3 linked regions of the Mytilus edulis genome follow. The protein of the gene in region 3 interacts with the protein of the main gene of each other region in a pairwise test. Links are inferred from orthologs where the notes say so. Each region holds a gene or a part of one and is shown on either strand. Other genes may lie near its edges.

The links. The genes of interacting proteins can lie anywhere in the genome.
Region 1: the proteins of histone-lysine N-methyltransferase EZH2-like (region 3) and histone deacetylase complex subunit SAP18-like interact in binary tests that used the Drosophila melanogaster proteins (3 or more experiments, as listed by UniProt). The link is inferred for Mytilus edulis from reciprocal best matches to the Drosophila melanogaster genes E(z) and Bin1.
Region 2: the proteins of histone-lysine N-methyltransferase EZH2-like (region 3) and probable histone deacetylase 1-B interact in binary tests that used the Drosophila melanogaster proteins (3 or more experiments, as listed by UniProt). The link is inferred for Mytilus edulis from reciprocal best matches to the Drosophila melanogaster genes E(z) and HDAC1.

Annotation. Positions count from the first base shown.
Region 1 is NC_092353.1:33,376,764-33,383,952, forward strand, and holds the start of histone deacetylase complex subunit SAP18-like, read right to left. Parts: upstream 3,010-7,189; 5' UTR 2,908-3,009; coding exon 2,842-2,907; intron 1-2,841. UniProt on the Drosophila melanogaster protein: Involved in the tethering of the SIN3 complex to core histone proteins. Interacts with bicoid (bcd) to repress transcription of bicoid target genes in the anterior tip of the embryo; a process known as retraction.
Region 2 is NC_092344.1:100,942,563-100,949,676, reverse strand, and holds the start of probable histone deacetylase 1-B, read right to left. Parts: upstream 3,010-7,114; 5' UTR 2,912-3,009; coding exon 2,866-2,911; intron 1,790-2,865; coding exon 1,677-1,789; intron 1,355-1,676; coding exon 1,237-1,354; intron 376-1,236; coding exon 301-375; intron 1-300. UniProt on the Drosophila melanogaster protein: Catalyzes the deacetylation of lysine residues on the N-terminal part of the core histones (H2A, H2B, H3 and H4).
Region 3 is NC_092357.1:18,270,115-18,278,104, reverse strand, and holds the start of histone-lysine N-methyltransferase EZH2-like, read right to left. Parts: upstream 3,026-7,990; 5' UTR 2,842-3,025; intron 1-2,841. UniProt on the Drosophila melanogaster protein: Polycomb group (PcG) protein. Catalytic subunit of the Esc/E(z) complex, which methylates 'Lys-9' and 'Lys-27' of histone H3, leading to transcriptional repression of the affected target gene.

The DNA of each region.
Region 1 (7,189 bases), on a different chromosome or scaffold from region 3:
TGTCACTTTATTTTGAACAATTGAAAAAAACATATTCATAGCAAAACACTTTACCAAAACATAATTAAGATTTATTCAACGCAAAAAACATTTTCAAAATGTCAATTTATCATATTTATTAGGAAAGGAAGAAAAAAAATATTTATAGCTTTTAGCAAAACACCTAATGGCTATTTGTCTGCAATTACTTGACATAAATATTTGACACCACATTTGGAAAAGTGATTGTTATATGGTGTCAAGGTCAAGAGGCGCAAATTCTAAGGTCAAGCAGTGCAGAATTCCAAATATCAATAAATTGTTTTAGACACTAACCAAAACTAAATTACAAAATTTTTAAACACAAAACCAATAAAAAGGATGCCAATGTGTATTGTGCAAAAGTGAAAGAGGGCAAACATGGAGTCAGCGCCTGGTTAAATGGGCACCTAGTCAGGTTTTGAGGTGAAAACACAGTCATTTTCGGTAGGTCTTTTCACCACTGAACACCCCAAAAATGTATTTTATCATTATAAATGTGATCTCAAAAAATTATTTAAGTTATTTTTTCAACAAATCATAAGATTAAGGGACCAAATATCTACATAGAACAGAAAAGGAGAGTCTATAACACCACACTTTTTGAACTCTGCAGACCACAAATATATTTTTTTTTCTCCATTTTTTCCCTTCTATGACTATGTCTTCAATAAAATATTTAATAGAAACAAATATCAAAATATAACTGATGAAATAGATCAAGGATACTTGAACTGATTACTATTAAATTATAAATGTATTTGTATTTTATTATTTATACTGTACACACACCGTGAATCCGGAAAAAATTATGCATCCGGAGACCTTTTTCTTTATATTGATTTTAGACTTTAACATACAAATAATGCTCATGAAACTCTTAATATTGATGAAAATAAACGTAATTTGAATTATTTTATCATTTTATTGTAATGCAGGTTTGAAATGGCCATAATTAGAAAAATGACGTTTGTGTACAATACTTTTCAATAACAATGGAAACTTATCTTTAGAAATGATTGTTATTTAAGGTTCATCATAACAAACGGACAAATATGGCTGTATTTACATGCCAAAAATTTCTCTGAGTACAGACTTACCTGTGAAGTTGGAAAAGTTTTAATGCCTGGCATCCACTAGATATAATAAAGTTAAATGCATTTTGTGTTTCAGAAAGATAAAGTCTCTTTTGGAATATGATGGGCATTCTTTTTTCCTTCATGCAAAAGGTCTGAAAATTATCTAAGTTGTGGTACAACTATGAGATGCTCCCTCAGGTAAAAAACCGGTTTGTATTGTTTTGATTGTCCTTAATTTACATGGACAAGAGGTATCTTCACAACTACAGGTGAGTTAAAGAGTTCATATGAGTCAGTGAGTGGACAGTATCAAAGTAATTCAGGTGTTTGTTTATTTTTACACCTTCTGCAGAAAGGGAAAAAAAATGCCCAGCAAAAACCAAAAAAAGATTTTATCTTTCTTTAACACAAAATGCATTTAACTTTTATATATCTAGTGGATGCTAGGCATTAAAACTTTCCAAACAGCAAAGGTAAGTCTGTACACAGAGTAGTTTTTGAGGTGAAAATACGGCCATATTTGTCCATTTGATATGATGAACCTTAAAAGAGTAGGGAAAACGTATTCTGCACTAATTTTGAACGCTGGTAATAGCGTAGTGATGTCAATGTGGAGTTTTCTCATGTGATAAGTACAAACACATATAACGAACGAACCAACATAATTTGCAACAAGATGACTGATAATTTGTAGACTACGGTAGGATATTTACATTTTTGTGCTAATAAACATGATAAATATTGTGCTTTTTTTATTGTCCAAATCTTTACAAATACTTATAGCTATCTAAACGTATTGGTGTGGATAGTAAATCACACATACAAATGTAATTAGATAGAGTGTGAGTTCGTGGTCTAGTGGTTAAGACCGATGGCTACAGTGCTGAAGGTCTCAAGTTCGATTCTCACTCGGGGTGCTAAAAATATCAGTACATCAGAAGGGTAATTTTCACCCTCTCACACACATCTCTGGTACCCAGACCGGAGTTTAAACTAGAATGGGTACTTAGGGGGCCGTGGTGTAGTGGTTAGTGCATCGGACTACTAACACAAAGGTTCCTGGTTCGATTCCCGTTTGGGATGAAAATTTTAGGAACTCAATTTTCGGCTCTCCCTTGACACCATCTGCGAGTATGGTCTTGAGGAAACGATGATAGTCCGTCGGAAGGGGACGATAAATGGCTGACCCGTGTTAAGAGAGAGCCATATCTCTTGCACGTTAAAGACACCCTTGTAGATTTCGAAAAAGAGTAGGCTAATGCCGCTACAAGGCAGCACTTGCACCCGCAAAGTGGAAAGGGATTAATATAAGTTGCAAAACTTGTTTCCCAATCCACTATAAATAAATATGTTTAAACTAAAGGGGGCCTCGGTTGGTCAAAGGTGTCCCCCCTACTTTGACCTGGAGATCAATCTTCTGATATCTCTCTGGTTTGTCTGTTTCCACCGAGTGGCCCCGGTGGTTCTCTCCGAGTACTTCGGCTTCCTCCACAATAATAACAGACTTCCCTGTGTCTTACACGCTCCCTTGGGCGGTGTTGGGTGGGGATTGTTCTGGTGGTGGGATAATATTGTAAAGGACACATCTCCATTAATCCTTAGGGAGTGTACATGGATCCGCTGTACCCTTGCAGTCAATCAAGGGGTGCGTCTAAATTGGCGGAATCTCGAGTACATACATACATAGAAACAAGTGCCTGTGCAAAAGGGACATAATTTTTTGGAACTTGCTGTGCTTTTATACCTTTTCTCTGTCTACTGGAGCTTCTGTCTCCTTCGGCTGTTCTTCCACAACGGATTCGACAGGCATTTTAAACTTTAAATACTATATTGCCTCTGAATTAAAAATAAACAGTTATTGTTCAAACCGGCAAGCTTTTTTTACAAGGGGAAACAACTTTTGTATGACGACAGTGCAGTGTTCATTACGTTACAGATATTGAGAAGTATGCCAAAGATAAATTCACTCTCTGGTTTTGTTAAGCAATTGATTTTAATCAAATCCATTGAAAAAAAATATTCAGAGAAAATCACAACCAAACAAAAATAAATAATTAGAAATAAATTATCAGGTTTAGAAATAAACTCAATCTAGACTCAGTTTCAACACTTTACTGTAAAATATTTGAAAGGGAAGTTACTCTAAATCCCGCGAAATTTATGAAGTAATCACTAACAGTACATTTAAAAAAAGACATACTAGATCATAACAGATTACAAGATTAGTCATAAAAAGTAACTTTTGTGGTTAGTGATCATTAGTGAAAAGTTGACACAAAAGGCGTAATGAAACTGTCATGAATTAATTAAGGGTAATACAGAACTTTTACAACAAGGAGTTATGAGGGGGAGGACAGGGAGAAAGGGGGTAGGAGGAATCTGGGTCCGTTCGCGCCCATTCACGTTCGCACCAACTAATGTTCGCCCCCTTTCACTTTCGCACCCTACATGTTCGCACCCAAAGTCTGTTAGCACCCTACATGTTCGCGCCCAATTTTAATTGGTTTTGTGTTTGATAACTTTGTAATCAAATTTTTGTCAAGTGTATTCTAATAAGTATAATTGTTGTCATCGTCTCAAAATAAAGTGAGACAGCATTTTGTTTGTGTTGATCAAATCTTAATCCTGTTTTGGATAGTGTATTGTTAAAAAAATTAATAATCCTTTCTAAATAAAGTGGGATTCTGTCAACGTTTTATTTTGTGCTGAATAACTCTTAATCATGTTTTGGTTAGTGTATTGCTGTAACTTTTGTTTCAAGTTGACTTGTTTTAAAATGAAAGGAGATTCTGACTACGTTTTTTTCTTCTGTGTTGAATAAATGTTATCATGTTTTGGTTATATAAATAGTGTATTGCTATATTTAATTGTGTGATTGTTTCAGGTCAAAGGGACCAAGCTGTTAAAAACAATTATCCGTTTTGTGTTTTTCATTTAAAATCTTCAAAGTTTTACTCATATTAAGCTATAAAAACATTCAGTATTTACACCAAAGCAACTTTAAACAACAATCATAATTTTCCAATTATTCAACTGGAATGTGAATTAAAATTGGGCGCGAATGTGTAGAGTGCGAATGGACCTTGGGTGCGAACGTGCGAGGTGCGAACGTGTAGGATGCGAAAGTGTTTTGGGCGCGAACGGACCTGATACCGGGTAGGAGAAAGGAGAAACGGGGTGGGAGAAAGGAGAAAGGGGGTAGGAGAAAGGAGAGGAAGGCTGGGAGAAAGGAGAAAAAATAAAATATCTCTCCTTTTAAAAAATGATCTAATATTTCAAGAAAAAATATCTCAAAAGGAGATGTTTTATTCTAATGGGAGAAAGGAGAACGGGGGTAGGAGAATGGAGAAGAGGGGTGGGAGAAGGGAGAAGGGTACCCCCTGTCCTCCCCCTCAGTTATTAGAAAAAAACAAAAAAACAAAAAAACTGAGAAAATAACAAGTATTTGACATAACAAAAATTTATAAATAAATTATTCTGAAAAAAAACTAACCAGGCATGTGCCTGAAAGTAAACATGGTTTTTTGTAACTGAAGAAGAAGGAAAAGATCCTTTAAATTTAAACTGAGACTACTATGATCATTATAATTATTATACAGTTGAGGGCTATTTTGAGAGGAGTAAAAAATTGGGAGGATTGGAAGACTTGGCTAGAAAAATATAATCCTGATCTTGAATCTTTTGAAAATAGCTATTGTGACCCTGTTACCGAATAACAAAAATGGGTTATTCCTCTTGATTTAACATGAATGCTATTGAAAATCTGTATTTTTGAAACTGAGTATTCAGTGCCAAAACATATTCATAGAGTGCAAAAAATGTTGAAAAAAAAGAACATCTGATTGTCCTTTATTTTGCCAAGTGAACAATCAAGGCTTTTATGAGCCTCTTGTTCTTTAGTCGTTTACAATATTCATTTTAGTGTTAAAGAATATGATGAGAAATAGATAGAATTAATGATAAATGTATATTTTTGTTTGCAGGAATTCCTTAGTGAGATGGACTGAAGGAGTTATTGTCAAAAAACACAAAACTGTTAGGTAAATATTTTGTAAAATTAAACTCATATATATGACACAACAGTCTGATTAGTCCTGATTAGAACCAGCCCCCACTATTTACTTGTTTCCACTAACGCAAGTGGATAGTGTGGGCTGGTTTTAATCAGACTGATGACACAAGATAACATGTATGGTCTGCACTTCTGTAAATATAAATTAAACCATGATAATACCCATAGGATCTCCTTTTATGGCTAAAACTGTAGTTTCCTAACCAAGTATATCCTGAAATGAAAAGTTGAGATGCACTGTTATCAATGATTATTATTTGCACATGTCTCATAGGGCTGTGCGGCATAATTAAGATATGTATATATGCATTGAATATCTAAGGGTTTAAACTTATACTTGAATTCTGTTCTTAAAGTCTCTCCCTTTACTTTCAGTCTTCCTGAAAATTCAATTTGACTGGTATCTAACTGTAACACTAAGACATAAACATGTCAAATTTTCAAGTTGTGTCTCAATGAGATGAAACATGAAGAAGGAATCCAGAAGGTAAACAGAACAAAATACCTATATAATCTTTCAAAATGGGCATGGTTTGTAAATCAGCTATTTTTACTAAGTGCAAACTTATATAAGCTATATTTCTGTACATATTCTGTACAAACCACATCAAGATTATTCAAAATGCAAACTAGACATTTTATCAATGAAACTAAAAGTATAATACCAGAGTAAATATTTTTATCACTTATGATAGTATTTGTTCCAAATTTAGCATGATGGACTAACATTATGGTATATATACATAGTTGGTTATATATTTGAATGTCATTGTGATATTTGTAGTTATTTGGTTTAATTTGTTTGAGGATCTAAATGGGAGATTCGTGTTATGTGTTCTGATGCCCTCTTTAAATAATGTATAAACTACTACTGAGTACTCTATTACAAATGTTTTATAAAGTTAAACTATGCTAATTAGAAAAATTGACCTCCCCTTTTTCTGAATATAAAAAGACCTGCTAGGTTTTATCTGATGACCTCAAATGTTTGTTGAATAGACTACTTTCGAGTTATGTCCTCCACAGGAAAAGTTTGTCAATTTTGTGCATCTTTATTACGTCATTTACCAGATAGAAGGAAGTGCCTGTATCCCTGCTCTCTTCAAGTTTATCTAGAATCTTTGTGATTGTCATTATGCAGGATAACCTAGAAATAATGTTTGTTCTTTTTAACATTGTTACTTAATCACAATTTCCTAATGACAGCAGTGCTGAATCTTAATTAAAAGAATTTAATTTGCCTAAAAATTCATGCAAAGACGTTTTATATTTTGATGGAAATGCAATAAACATGAAATTTGTCTATTTGGCAGCAAAAAGGGGATTTCTAGTGTTTTGATTCCCTAACTTTGGGAGCAAACATACATGCTTGCTTATCCTTATTTTTATCAACATGTGACATCCCTTCAATACAGTCAAGTGGTTTATTGTATACCAAGCTTAATCTGTGTGTTTATAATCACTAAATTATAATCATATATTCTTAAATCTCATAAATTTTCAAAAATATATTTAAAAACCAGTGTTAGGTTTCAAAAATATTTTAACCATTATAAGGCTAAGTTGTAGTTGCTACTGATTTTAAGGATATTGGGGTTTATCAGGGTTGGAAAATCACCTTTTTTGACAGTGAGCTTTAAACATGTAATGCAGACCCCCTTAAACCATAGAACTGATTATCAATTACCACCTAATGTAAAACGATACTTCATTTTGCCTTGAACATCACTTTTTATTGGCCTTTCTGAATCTGACCAAAATGGCTATTTTCTATGTATGCATAAATTAACATTATATTTATTTGAAAATTAACACATTTTTTTAGATAATAAACTGTATTACCATATTGAACAATGTTGTAAAATGTAAATGTTTTATTTTTAACAATAATGATACTTTTAATTTTAAATGTTCATTGTTACTTTTTTTTAACAGGTTATATAATCTTACTTGTAATTTGAATAAAAGTGTCTTTTCACTATCGGTAGATTTATCGATATTTGTCTTTCTGAGGTATTCA
Region 2 (7,114 bases), on a different chromosome or scaffold from region 3:
ATTGAGATATCACATTCCTATAGCTAGAAAGTCCTAAAAAGGCCACCACATGCCAGAGTACCCTTATAAATGTACTACATTTGATGGTACAGGTTCACTATACTGCACTCAGATAAAATGGTTTTAGTACTTTGAATATGCATAATTACTTCTAAAATATAATTTTCAAAAATGTTAAAACAAGAAATTTGTTCTTGTCAGAGTATATGTGATACTAATCTACAGAATTCATACATTCCATCAAATCAAAAACAGGGCAGTCATCTCCAACGTTAACTTGTCAGAGTATTTAATACTAACCAACAGAGCCACCAGTTGACAGCTGACAGAACTCATACATTCCATCAAATACAGGGCAATCTTCTCCAACGTTAACTGAAAAGATTTATAGATCTTATAATTTACATTTATTTACATTAGTACAATTGACCGGTATTATCAAAGTATTCATAAAAACTTTCAGTCTGCACGGTTAGCCACTAGTCCGATGCCCCAGACTAGTAAAATTTCATTTCGGACTAGTAAGTTTTTGCAAAACTTTGTTTGGCCCAATAAGAAAAATGTCAGAATATTGGTCTTCGGACTAGTAGTTGAAAAAGTTTTTGGTGCAGACTGTTATTTGCTATGGCCTTCAATAATGTTCAGCTTTGAATTTATGTTTCAACAAAAAATAAGTACTGAAATGAGAGCAACTATTCTGTAGACACTTTTTTCAGACGATTAAATTTACTTAGTAACTTTGTAATTCACACATATAGTATTTAATTTTAGTTATTCTTGGTCATTTAAAATTTAATTTGTTAAAAGTAAAACTTTAACCAGTATGGACATGATGGATAAATGGTGAATGTGTCACACAATGGGACACAGATGATGCCCCCACTTGCATATAATGTCCGAAAGGGACATATGAATCCCAGAACTGTAAAAAGTGACTGCCCAAATTTGTACTTGATCTGATTTTTGTTGTAAAAAGCATTGGGTATAAGTTACATAACATTTGATTAAGACAAACTAAAGTAAAAAATCAGAACAGAAACGAAACATTCAACAATTTTTCCATTTGTTACTGTAAAGGGGCATAACTCTTGAACTGTTACAACTTATTTTAAGCATTGAATTAAAAGACGATTTTTAATTGATTGATGTTTGATTTTTGCCGTATTAGCTTCAAAAGGCTATACTGTAGAGATGTTACTAAAGAGAGATAAAGTTAATAACATTATATATTATTACATCGCTGCATCTGTTTGTTGTAGTCCGACATGTTATCTGGTCTTATACTTCGTAAAAACTTGATGTAGTCATCACTGTGGAACTTTGTCATTTCTTCTTGTGTGGCTTTGTGTGGTCTCTGTTGAAAAATAATAATTTATATAAAAAAACTTTTCTAGATCTGCGTCTCTTCATTTTCTGTTTAATAATATGAAAAACTACATAGTCATCAATTAATGCACCAATGCTCTTAGAAAAATAACTGAGAAGATTGTGGGTCACAATGTCATCCACCAAAATATTAATGAACTACAATGTATGTCAAATAAATGTAGTGTACAATACAATACTATTTATAATAAAGATCGTTTTGAAGGAAAAAAGTTTGGAATATAATATTATTTATACTTGTAGAGACTGCAGAAATTTTATTGATCAACATTATTTATACTTGTACTTACATAAATTTCCATCTTCCTATAAAGTCCATAATTAAGTATAAGGTTGTGTGTCATACGTATTCTGTGTGGCTTCATGGGATGACCTTGGCCATAGTAGTAATTTCCAATGTCTCCTATTCAATGGAAATATTTAATTATTCAATTATGATTTCAAGTGAGAAACTGAATATGGAAATATAGCTGTACAAGAATATTAGATTGGTTATCCAAAATTCAGGACATTAAAAAAAGCTAGAGCATGGTTTTCACAAAGAATTGTTCGTGAAAAGTTCAGCAAGCCAACTCATCACTTTGGACATATTAAACAAGTCCATAGTTCTGACAAAATTAGTATCTGTCATCTACTTATTCAAAGCCTCATCATTTATTTTAGTCTTACAGTTTTAACGAAATACATGTATAAACAAAATTCTATTTAAATTATATTTCAATTTTTTATTATAAATTTCTAGTCTGAATAACAAGCCTCAATTTCACCTTACAATAATTCATTTTATAGTCAAAATCATATTATTAGCTACCAAAGAGTTAGAAAAATAGAAGATTCATATTTGAAATGAGACCCCTTTCCCTAAAATAATTTGAGGAGACAATGACATTGCATTATTTATCTTAGTTTCACAATCCTTTGTCCTTTGGTCCCTACTATAGCATAAAATATAAAAGAAAAATGGGCTTCCATAGATTGAATTTTAATGTTCTATCAGCAAATTCAAAACTTTTGATAATAAAAGTAATAAAATGCTTGTTTCATATCATAAGGGTTGCAAAATGCTCTTTCCCTTAAATAATTCAGCCAAAAACGATTTTTAACTGAAATAAAAGTGTTTTAAAAAAATTGTTACTTTCGTACGCCGAGCATGGGAAAATGGGCTTCCATAGTTTTTCAAAGGAAATAGGCGCGATTTTGTATAATTAGTGTTTCTCTGCAATAAATTAATTCAAAACAATACCAGAACAAATATAATATGTCTTTCATCATAAATAAACATAAAAAATGATTTAACAATACATAATTTCAGATTTTTACATCCAAACGTGAGCGGCTTTTTGGGGCCTGCATAGGGGAACGGACGCTTCCAACAAAAGTTTTTCCTATTAAGTGAGTATAGTACCACTTTCAGTCCCCTTAAAGAAGCAATCGATATATTTGAGAGGTCGAAAACTAAAATATTGTTTATGAACATACCATCGTAATAATAACAGACTCTTTTCTTGCTGTGTTGTGAGGCCATTGTTCGAGTCAAGCGATGTTAAATTGCAGCGCCCTCTATTAACAACGAACGACAATCAAGTATAGTTCTTCCCGGAATAATTTTAAAATAAACTTGTATTGGAATTTTGTCGAATCCGAAACTAGATATTTAAAGTATCCACGAAAACATTTTAATTAATTGATTAAATCTAAGAATAATTTAGCCCCTTATTGAATTTAAAATTAAAACAAAAGGACTAAATACTTAAGAATTTTCAACAGGAACTTTCCCTCGAGTATTGTATTATATGTCTCTGAGTATAGAGGGGGAGGACAGGGGGGTACCCTTCTCCCTTCTCCCACCCCTCTTCTCCTTTCTCCTACCCCCGTTCTCCATTCTCCCATTAGAATAAAACATCTCTTTTTGAGATATTTTTTCTTGAAATATTAGATCATTTTTTAAAAGGAGAGATATTTTATTTTTTCTCCTTTCTCCAACTTTTTCTCCTTTCTCCCAGCCTTCCTCTCCTTTCTCCTACCCACTTTCTCCTTTCTCCCACCCCCTTTCTCCTTTATCCTACCCCCTTTCTCCCTGTCTCCCTTACCCCTGTCCACCCCCTCAGTATACTAACTTGTCACAGTCTTAGAATTGTAGAAATTCATGATGACATGGTTTCTTTTGGATATATTTTATCGGGATAAGTTTTAACTTGAGTTTTATCAGTATTGAAAACGTTCGACCACTGAACTTACTTTTAAATAGTTCTTAATATTTTAAAAGAATTACATTGTGTCATGATGTAATATTTTTGTTCGACCAGTCCCAGATGCGGATTTAGGGGGGGGGGGCAGGGGGCCCGGGCCCCCCTTTTTGGGGAAAAAATCGGTTGCTTATCACAGGCACTTGTTTCTATCCATACGAAGGTCGACTATCCATTTATATGGATAGTCGACCTTCGTATGGATAGAAACAAGTGCCTGTGTTGCTTATATAGGGAATCACTGAAGCGACACTCGAGCAGGCCCCCTCTTAATTAGGTCAGTCAGTGGGCCCCCACTTATGAAACTTGAATTTCTGGATCCGCCACTGAGTCCTATTTAGAAGTCAAGTAACTTGTGATAACTGTCTAGAGTGTCTTTTCCAATGAAAGATTAGGTACTAGTCAACGGTGATGACTGCAGACATACTTAATTAAATGAAGCATCTTGATAAAAGGAGAAGTATGAATATACGGCAATGAGATACAGACAACCGGCCATAAAAAAAAACCACAAGACATCGAGGCATCTTAATAAAAGGAGAAGTATGGATAAACGGCAATGAGATAACAACCAAACAAAATGAAAAAAAAACCAACAAGACATGGCGGCATCTTAATAAAAGGAGAAGTATGGATATACGGCAATGAAATAATAACCAACTAAAATAAAAAAAACTACAAGACATGGAGGCATCTTAATAAAAGGAAAAGTATGGATATACGGCAATGAGACAACAACCGGCCATCAAAAAAAAACCAAAAAAAACACAAGACACGGAGGCATCTTAATAAAAGGAGAATTATGAATAAACGGCAATGAGAAAACAACCCCCCCCCAAAAAAATAAAAAAAATACAAGATATGGAGGCATCTTAATAAAAGGAAAAGTATGAGTATACGGTAATTAGACAACAACCCAACAAAATAAAAAACACAAGACATGGAGGCATCTTAATAAAAAGAGAAGTATGATATACGACAATGAGAGGCAACAACCAAACAAAATAACAAAAACTTAAAGACATGGAGACATCTTAATAAAAGGAGAAGTATGCATATACGGCAATGAGATAACAACCAAACAATAAAAAATGTACAAGACATGGAGACATCTTAATAAAAGGAGAAGAATAAATATTCGGCAATGAGATAACAACAAAAAAAAAACAAAAAAAAATACAAGACATGGAGGCATCTTAATAAAGGGAAAAGTATGGATATACGGCAATGAGATAACAACCCAACAAAATAAAAAAAAATACAAGACATGGAGGCATCTTAGTAAAAGGAGAAGTATGGATATACGGCAATGAGACAACAACCGGCCATCAAAACAAAAAAACCACAAGACATGCATATGGAGGCATCTTAATAAAAGGATAAGTATGGATATACGGCAATGAAATAACAACCAAAAAAAAAATAAAAAAATACAAGACATGGAGACATCTTAATAAAAGGAAAAGTATGGATATAAGGCAATGAGACAACAACCGGCCATCAAAACAAAAAACCACAAGACATGCATATGGAGGCATCTTAATAAAAGGAGAAGTATAGATATACGGCAATGAGATAACAACAAAACAAAATAAAACAAGAGGCTGTCACAACGACAGCAAACCGGATTTCAATATGATTAACATTTATTCATTTATTTGTGTCCTGGCAATATCACAAGAACCATAACTCCTGAACGGTAAAAGTCAAAATCGACATTATTAAACTTGACCTCCATTTTGTCATCAGTAACAACATATTAAAATTTGAAAAGCTTTGGGTGAACAGTTCATGAGTAAATGCACGGACATGACTGGAAACGCCATTTTTCAATCTTTCAAGAACCATAACTCCTGAACGGTAAAAGTCAAAATCCTCATTCTTGAACTTGACCTCCATTTTTTCATCAGTAACAACATATTAAAATTTGGGAAGCTTTGGTTGAACAGTTCATGCGTAAATGCACGGACACGACTGGAAACGCCATTTTTCAATCTTTCAAGAACCATAACTCCTGAACGGTAAAAGTCAAAATCGTCATTCTTGAACTTCACCTTCATTTTGTTGTCAGTAACAACATATTAAAATTTTAAAAGCTTTGGATGAATGGTTCATGAGTAAATGCACGGACAACATTTGTTTGCCGCCCGCCCGACCGCCCGACCGCCCGCCGTACATCCCCAAATCAATAACCGACATTTTTGTCACAAAAATCCGGTTAAAAACTACAAGGCATGGAGGCATCTAAATAAAAGGAGAAGTATTGATATACGACAATGAGATAACAACCAAACAACATAAAAAAACACATGACATGGAGGCATCTTACTAAAAGGAGAAGTATGGATATACGGCAATGAGATAACAACCAAACAAAATAAAAAAACACATGACATGGAGGCATCTTAATAAAAGGAGAAGTTTGGATATATGGCAATGAGATAACAACCAAACAAAATAAAAAAAACACATGATATGGAGGCATCTTAATAAAAGGAGAAGTATGGATATACGGCAATGAGATAACAACCAAACAAAATAAAAAAACACATGACATGGAGGCATCTTAATAAAAGGAGAAGTTTGGATATATGGCAATGAGATAACAACCAAACAAAATAAAAAAAACACATGATATGGAGGCATCTTAATAAAAGGAGAAGTATGGATATACGGCAATGAGATAACAACCAAACAAAATAAAAAAAAACACATGATATGGAGGCATCTTAATAAAAGGAGAAGTATGGATATATGGCAATGAGATAACAACCAAACAAAATAAAAAAAACACATGATATGGAGGCATCTTAATAAAAGGAGAAGTATAGATATACGGCAATGAGATAACAACCAAACAAAATAAAAAAAAACACATGATATGGAGGCATCTTAATAAAAGGAGGAGTATAGATATACGGCAATGAGATAACAACCAAACAAAATATAAACTACAAGACATAGAGGCATCTTAACAAAAGGAGAAGACAAATATGGATATACGACAATGAGATAACAACCAAACAAAATTTAAAAAAAAAAACCCACAAGACATGAATGCATCTTTATAAAAGAAGAGTATGGATAAACGGCAATGAGATAACACCCAAACAAAATAAAAAAAAACTACAAGACATGGAGGTATCTTAATAAAAGGAAAATAAAATTGAGAATGGAAATGGGGAATGTGTCAAAGAGACAACAACCCGACCAAATAAAAAACAACAGCAGAGGGTCACCAACAGGTCTTCAATGTAGCGAGAAATTCCCGCACCCGGAGGCGTCCCTCAGCTGGTCCCTTAACAAATATATACTAGTACAGTGATAATGAACGCCATACTAATTTCCAAATTGTACACAAGAAACTAAAATTAAAATAATACAAGACTAACAAAGGCCAGAGGCTCCTGACTTGGGACAGGCGCAAAAATGCGGCGGGGTTAAACATGTTTGTGAGATCTCAACCCTCCCCTATACCTCTA
Region 3 (7,990 bases):
TGAACAATTATATTTGCAAGATTTATGTTAGTTTTCTAATTTATGGGTTTATGTTACATATATGCCAGCTTGTGCAAGTTCAGGAATTATCTTCATGTAGCAATGTTTGTAATTTTTTTTTATATTTTAAATATTGTAGTATCATTTGATGTCGCAAGTTCTCGCAAACAAAAAAAATCATTCTTTAATTTAATGGTGCTTGCTTAACTACAAACCTATGTATATACACATTTACAAATCATAATGGGTAATGCAGGACCTAAATGAATCATTAATTATGTAGCACATTGTTATAACATGCATGTGGGTGTTTAAACGACAAATTGAAATTTTCATATTTTCACAATATTGAAATTAAACAATAAAAAAATATGGGAAAATTTAATATTGAGTGATTTAGGAAAAAAACTGGAACTATTTGTGTCTTTCTAAATATATATATATAAAATAACTGAATAATAGCCAACGATTTATAATCTTACGGGGCAATGGATCATAAAATTAAGATACAGTACACTACAAAATATAATAAATCACCAGTCTAAAAGGGTACAACATTTTTTTGCTTGACGGCTATTAAGCAGGAACAAGGTTCTCGCTAAGGATTTTTGAAGGTGAGTCCAGGGACTCGTTATTTTTAGCCATGATGAGTCCAACAGCAAGAAGAAAATATTTTGTTGCATTCTAATGTAATATTTTAGTCTTCATGGCCTAACAGAGCAATGAAATGACATTAAATTCAGATCACTTTTAAACTTTTGCTATAAAATGATGATATTTGTGTTAACTACATGTATGTTCATTTTATACAAAATATTTCAATTTTGATGCATCTGTGGACTCACCAGTTTTGGAAGTGGGGAGTCCAGACAAATTCCAAAAAAAGTTCAGGACTCATGGATTCGCCTTAGTGAGAACCCTGAGCAAGAAGACAACTTGCAAGGCTATTTTTCTTTTTTTCTTTGACTTCGTTGCAGGAAAACATCTTTTTAATGTATAATTTGAAGCCGTTGAAGGAAAAAAATAATGTAGCCTTGTATCAAATGTTTAACTTGAAATGCATGTGATACATGTATGTGGTATAAACAGATAGAGATGAAGGGAGTCCATAACAATACCATGCATAATAAAGCTGGGTGGAAATAATTTATAATGAAGACAAAAACAGCACTACCTATGCATAATTTAAGAAGATGAGCTGTGTTGATGTGTTAACGTCAGTAAAAAAAAGTACACTCTGACATGACCCATTCATTTGTACACAACGACAACGTGATTTACTAGGAAGGTCAGTTCCTAGCATTGGGATGAACATTTTAAAAACTTACCATCCATGCAACTATGGTGTTTTCTATGGAACATAGCTTGACGTTCAACTACTTCAAAACACATGGTTTAACGATTTCATTTCGGTTGAAGCAGAAAGGAAGTATCAGCTGATTATGACAACTGGATCCCCTCCCAATTTCGGCCTGGTAAATTGCGATTCATCTGAGAACCACATTGATTTTTCAAGACAGAAAAGTATCACAATTACCTAATTTAGCGATTTGAGCTTTCTTCTATACACTTTATCACTAATGTTTTACGTTTATAAACTAGTTTGAACATCAATCTAGGCCAATTGAAGAACTTTATTCATTTTTCCTAAGCCACCCCCATTTTCGCTCCAGAACGCCATTTTTGTTGTAATCAGCTCAAAGAAACGGAAAAATTAGGAAAATTAATACATCAATCACTACGAAATTTACTCAATACACGAACAAATCATATACCTTTCAGAAAATGTAAATTTTTTCACTCATCTTCGTATTTTGAGGAAGAAGTATAAAAAAAGAAAATGATGTTAGGACCGCCCAATAGGCGGGATAGGGTGAGGTCACTTCGGTCATTATGCAAATTCATTCTATGGAGCCGTGTACTTTTACTGCGATCGTAAAAGTTATTTATTTTGCCAGAACCATTTTAAACTTCTTATTTTTAGCATAAAATTTGATAAATATGGATTGTAATACTTACATATCGGGTGTCAGTTTGTTTAGGTGATGCAAATGTCAGCCATTAATCAGAGCTAGTTTATCATTTTCCAGATGCATCACGGGTAATCTCACAAAATCTTGCGTCGCATAAGATGTTATACTACAGTCTATGCAAAAGCTCACGAGATTCCAATCCTTCTAACTATACAAATCCTTGCTGAAGTATAGTATTTAATTATGTCCACTTTCAGGGACACTTTTTCATACCTGAGGACAGTTTTTCATAGAAAAATGTGTCCAGGACACATATAAATAAGTTAATATTGTCCCAAGACCCCGTATTTACTAGGAAATTATGTCCGGTGGACACTTTTTCATTGGGGACATTATTAAATCCTACAATGTTACACTACTAAACTATAGGAATGTTTAACAAGTTTTCATACCATAATATGGTTTTAAAAAAACAATGCTCCATTTTGGTGGAATAATTTGTTTTGAAAAACAAGGAATTATACACCAATTGGTCTATACCATTATATGTCAATTGGTGGATTAAACGTCAATTGAGGTATAATCCACCAATTGGTGGTTATTCCTGACCTGTCCATACTTCACGTGAAAACTCATTATAAATTATTTTCATCTACAACAAACAAGAAGTATTCTATACATCTTTAATGAGCATGGATTTATATAGGCTGAGTTGTTATCCAATCTTTTTGTTTAAATAATTCCGACAACAGTCAACAGTAAAATTTGGAAATTTTAAATTTCAAAATCATCACAACAAAGAAACTTCCATTATATCCTACTGGGATAAGTCATGTGTTTCTCATTTAAGATTGTTAAACAATTTTACCGTCTCTAAGGTTAATCTATTTCTGTTGGAGCTCTATAATATCGAAAACGATTAAAATACTATGTCGTTGTTGTTTGGTGTGTTTATGGCGCTAAATTTCTATTTCCTCCTTTCGGTTTTCTTTGGTTTTTACTATACGAATATTTTTAAGGGAAACTTGTTTCTACCTTCTTTGAATACGCCGTTTGAAATGGCTTCGGCGGTAACCAGACAATCCTGTCTATATAAACGTTAATTCTGTATATATATTATATATATTCCTAAAAATCAATTAATATTTTGATAATTCACAATTTCTCCAATCATTTAATACAATTTTTCATTTTTGATAATATAGTATCATTAATGAATTATAAGAACCAAGTGAGAAATATGACATTTGTCATAAATTCGACGTTTGATGTGTTTGCATGAGGTTTAATTTTGGCATTTGATTAGGGACTTTCTTGTTCAAATTTTTCCTCAGAGTTCGGTAAGTCGACGAGAAAAGAAAAATATTTAGTCGACATTAGTACACTAATGTTCAAATATCTAAAAGAGGGACGAAAGATACCAGGGACAGTCAAACTCATAAATTAAATCTAAAACAAACTGACAACGCCATGGCTAAAAATGAAAAAGACAAACAGACAAACAATAGTACACATGGCACAACATAGAAAACCAAAGAATAAACAACACGAACCCAACCAAAAACTAGGGGTGGTCTCAGGTGCTCCGGAAGGGTAAGCAGATCCTGCTCCACATGTGGCACCCCTCGTGTTGCTTATGTTATATCAAATCCGGTAAATAGTCCAATTCGGACTCAATATACAATAATCGTTTTTTCAGATTGAAAAAAAAACCCTAACGTAGAATGTAATGCACTAAATGATAAAAAAAAGAAGATGTGGTATGATTGCCAATGAGACAACTATCCACAAAAGACCAAAATGACACAAACATTAACAATTATAGGACACCGTACGGCCTTCAACAATGAACAAAGCCCATACCGCATATAGTCAGCTATAAAAGGCCCCGATAAGACAATGTAAAACAATTCAAGCGAGAAAACTAACGGCCTTATTTATGTAAAAAACTGAACGAAAAACAAATATGTAACACATAAACAAACGACAACCACTGAATTACAGGCTCCTGACTTGGGACAGACACATACATAAATAATGTGGCGGGGTTAAACATTTTAGCGGGATCCCAACCCTCCCCCTAACCTGGGACAGTGGTATAACAGTACAACATAAGAACGAACTATACAAATCAGTTGAAAAAGGCTTAACTCATCAGATAGACAAAAAATAAAAGTGGACGTGGCCGGGTGCTTATATATCCCGACACAAAAAGACACAATGAACAGATCTGAGAGTACTCGCAGTTATCTGACAGCTAGTTCAAAGCCATTAACAACTAATAAAAAAATCATGCCTCTAAGACTAAGCAATCAATCCGTACACATCCAACATTCAATGGATTTAGTGTAAAGACGTCATAAATAGCCAAAGAAAAACATGACCTTGTGCAATGCCAAGTTACAGGTATCGACAGATTGTAGATTTATGTTAATGTATATGTATATAACATACTAGTAATATTTAGTTAGCTTTTAATCTACTTATAACAAAGTAAATTTTCATACCAATAAAACAATATTCAATGATCTTATCACAGTGTTGAATAGGTAACCTTTAAGAATAAGTTTATTTAAAGGAGCAACAAGTTTACATGGATCATTTCTAATTTCCGGGCACCGTTAACAACATTTCCGTTAAAATGAGGATGTGCTATCCCATTTGAAATAAGTTTTCTACAGGTACAACCAAACTTCAAAACCAAATCTTTATATCTATGGAAAAATTTAGTAAAGGTTTTAAGTAATTATGGTAACGATATCCCTGGTTTAATATAGCCCTTATTACTGCTCTTGGTACCTTTTTTATCAACCAAAAAATTGAAAACATTTTATGTCGTATGTTCTTATTTTCGATTGATTAATTCTTGATTAGAAGACTTAAAGTTGACACATGTGACTTCACCAGTACTTGACATGGACGGATGCACATGCAGAATTGTGATGGTAAGTGAATTATTAATTAAGGATAATAATATATTTTGTAGAATTCGTTATACTTATCTATCTATATAGATATTGTCAACAGACTCTGAGATCTGTCGTCATTATACATTTATAAAATAAAATCACGGTGATTCACATTCATGAAAGGGAAGGGGATTGTAGTTACGACGTAAGGAACATATCCGATATCATTTGTGAAACGGTTATTCGACGTAAAAAATATTACCTTATCAAACATGTCAAAGGGACATGAGGAACATGACGGGTGCCACATGTGGAGTAAGATCTAGATTAGCTTACCCTCACAGATCTCCTGAGTTAACCAAAAGTTTTTGATGGGGTTCGTGTTGCTCAGTTTTTTGTTTTTTGTGTTATATTTGTGTACTGCTGTTTTAAAATTTGTTTGTCTGTTCCTTTATTACGTTTTCAATTTATTTCCGATTTGTGAGTTTGAATGTCCATTTGGTATTGGTATCCTTAGCCTCTCTTTTGTTAGGCCACTTTTATGATTTATTTTATCGGTATCAAATATTTTTATCACAGATCAACCCACATTGGTTGCACTTGTATATAGCGAAAAAATCACGACGTCTTCTCTTCCTAAAAATAAAAAATAACCGAACGAGTTGTATTTATTCTTGAAGAGAGCAACACTGTGTGTGAGGGAATAATTTGGCCATACGGTCGAGTTCACACAATTGAGGATTTAATTTGCTCATTCATGTGTTTTCTGTGTAGTATTTTGTAGACTGTTTGTTATTCTTTTATTGAATCCTATAGTTTTGTTGTCTCAAAATTAAGTTCTTCGGTTTATTTTTTTATATTGAAGGCCACACGGTGACAATTTGTGTCCCTTGTGGAGAGTTGTCTCATTGGCAATGATATATATACCACACCTTTTTTTTCTATATATCGTGTACATATTTTATTACAAAAAGAGATGATTTCACCTTCCCAATTGTGAACTTTCCTTTTCTATGTAATTCCATAAAAATCTGCACACGAAGTATATATCTCCCAGTTGATACGATATTGTATTTTTCTATCACGATTTCCTTTACAAAGGGTTGCTGATCAAAAGGAAGCTATTACACCAAGAATTTCAAGTGGTGAAGTTGAAATAATCCCCTCTTTAATTATACGGACGCCATCCATAAATTTGTTGAAATATTATGATATATATATATATATATACCCGTTTCACAGATGATAGCGGATATGTTTCTAATGTCGTAATAACACTATTAGAAGTATTTTTAATGTTGCAATTAGCAACTCGACGATTGCCGCATGTGGAGTACGATATGCTTTCCCTCCCGGAGCACCTGAGATCATCCCTATTTTTATTTGCGGGATTCGTGTTTCTCACTCGTTATGTATTCTCTTTTGTATTTTGTGTACAATTGTCTGGTTTTTTTTTATCCATTTTAAACCATGGCGTTGACTAGTCAGTTTATTTTTCGACTTATGAGTTTGAATTATCCTTGTATCTTTCGACTCTCCATTATTGTAATAGAGATCACAAAGATTAAAAAATCACATTCCTGCGCAATTCAAATTCAGAAATGAAGATCATAACATTGACATATTCTAGCAGCTAAACACAACACTTATCATTTTAAGTGGTTTTACATGTACTTAATACGATTCTTGATCTTGAGTGGTTATTTTGAAATATTTATAATTGGTTTCGCATTCTTATGGGATACATGTATTTGTTTTGAATTTTTTCAAATTCTAAGAGGCTAACTCCCATAAATAAACGTAGTACAGTAAAAGAAGTAAGAGATGGAAGATATTTAAAAGAGATCTTCAAACTAACAAAGTAAAAACAATCGATAGCGCCATGACAGACATGACAGAAGAAGAAGAAAAAAGGACAAGAATAGTCTACAATGATAAATAATTGTAAACGAGTAATGAACAAATATGTAGACTACATACTTTTCTTGATAAAAAAAAAACTGATTCAGAGGTCTCGTGATCACTATTAAAAGGGAGGTCGAGGGTTTGGCCACGTGACGGACAATACCAAAAACGTAATAATAAAATATTGCTCTGCCCCCCCCCCCTTTCTCCCAATAAAAATACAAAACATGTAACGTGGAGAAATAACAGTAACGACAGCTTGACTAGAAGTCAGAATATTATGTGATTCTGCACACCGTTTCCTTATAAATAAAGTAACATGTAAAAACATACATTTTTATTCAGTTTGATGGTTAAACATTCGTTGGGTGTTTATTTGTGTTGATGTTTTTGAGGTAAATAACATGTCTCATTTGTTAAATATTTGATCAAAACTAGAATATTTGATCAAGCTAATCAATACTTGAATCAATTATTGGATGGCTCGCCAAAATATTTTTTTTGTATAAATACTGTGTAAATAATGTTTGTTTACAATTTTACCTACTAAACATGTGAATTTTAGAGTGTATTTAACGAGAAAATTAAGATATTCTTCATATACTTGTAACTTATATGTTGAAACAGAACGATATCACGGTGTTAATAGATCAGAAAAAATGTACCCTCTGTACTTTAAATACAATAGAAGACGAGTTTCATTTAATTTTACAGTGTGATTGCTATAATGCAATAAGGAGCAAGCAAGCAAGCAATTAAAAATAAATAAACTTCTTCTAAATGTGGACAAATTAAAGAATTTTCCTCAGAAAAAAGTATATGTACATAAGTTGTAAAATGAAAACTATCCATTTAGTTATAAAAAGACATATGCATGATTTTTTTTAATTTGAGGTTTCTTATGACTTAAAGCCATATTATTATAAGCGACCATCGTCATTTAAGCTTATACAGTTGTTGAGCACAGAAAATGTAAACGACATATGTAACCTTTGTAAAAAAAATTTCCATGCATTTAAACGTAGAACAGGCATGTTATAAGTTACCAATCTTTAATATAGATCATCATTCTTCTCGGATGTATTCATTTATCAGTTATGTATGTTTTATGTATTTATTTATTTATGATATATTTGTATTTGAATATATATTATATTTGTACTGATAAGCTTTATTTGCTCGAAGTAATAATAGAATTGCATT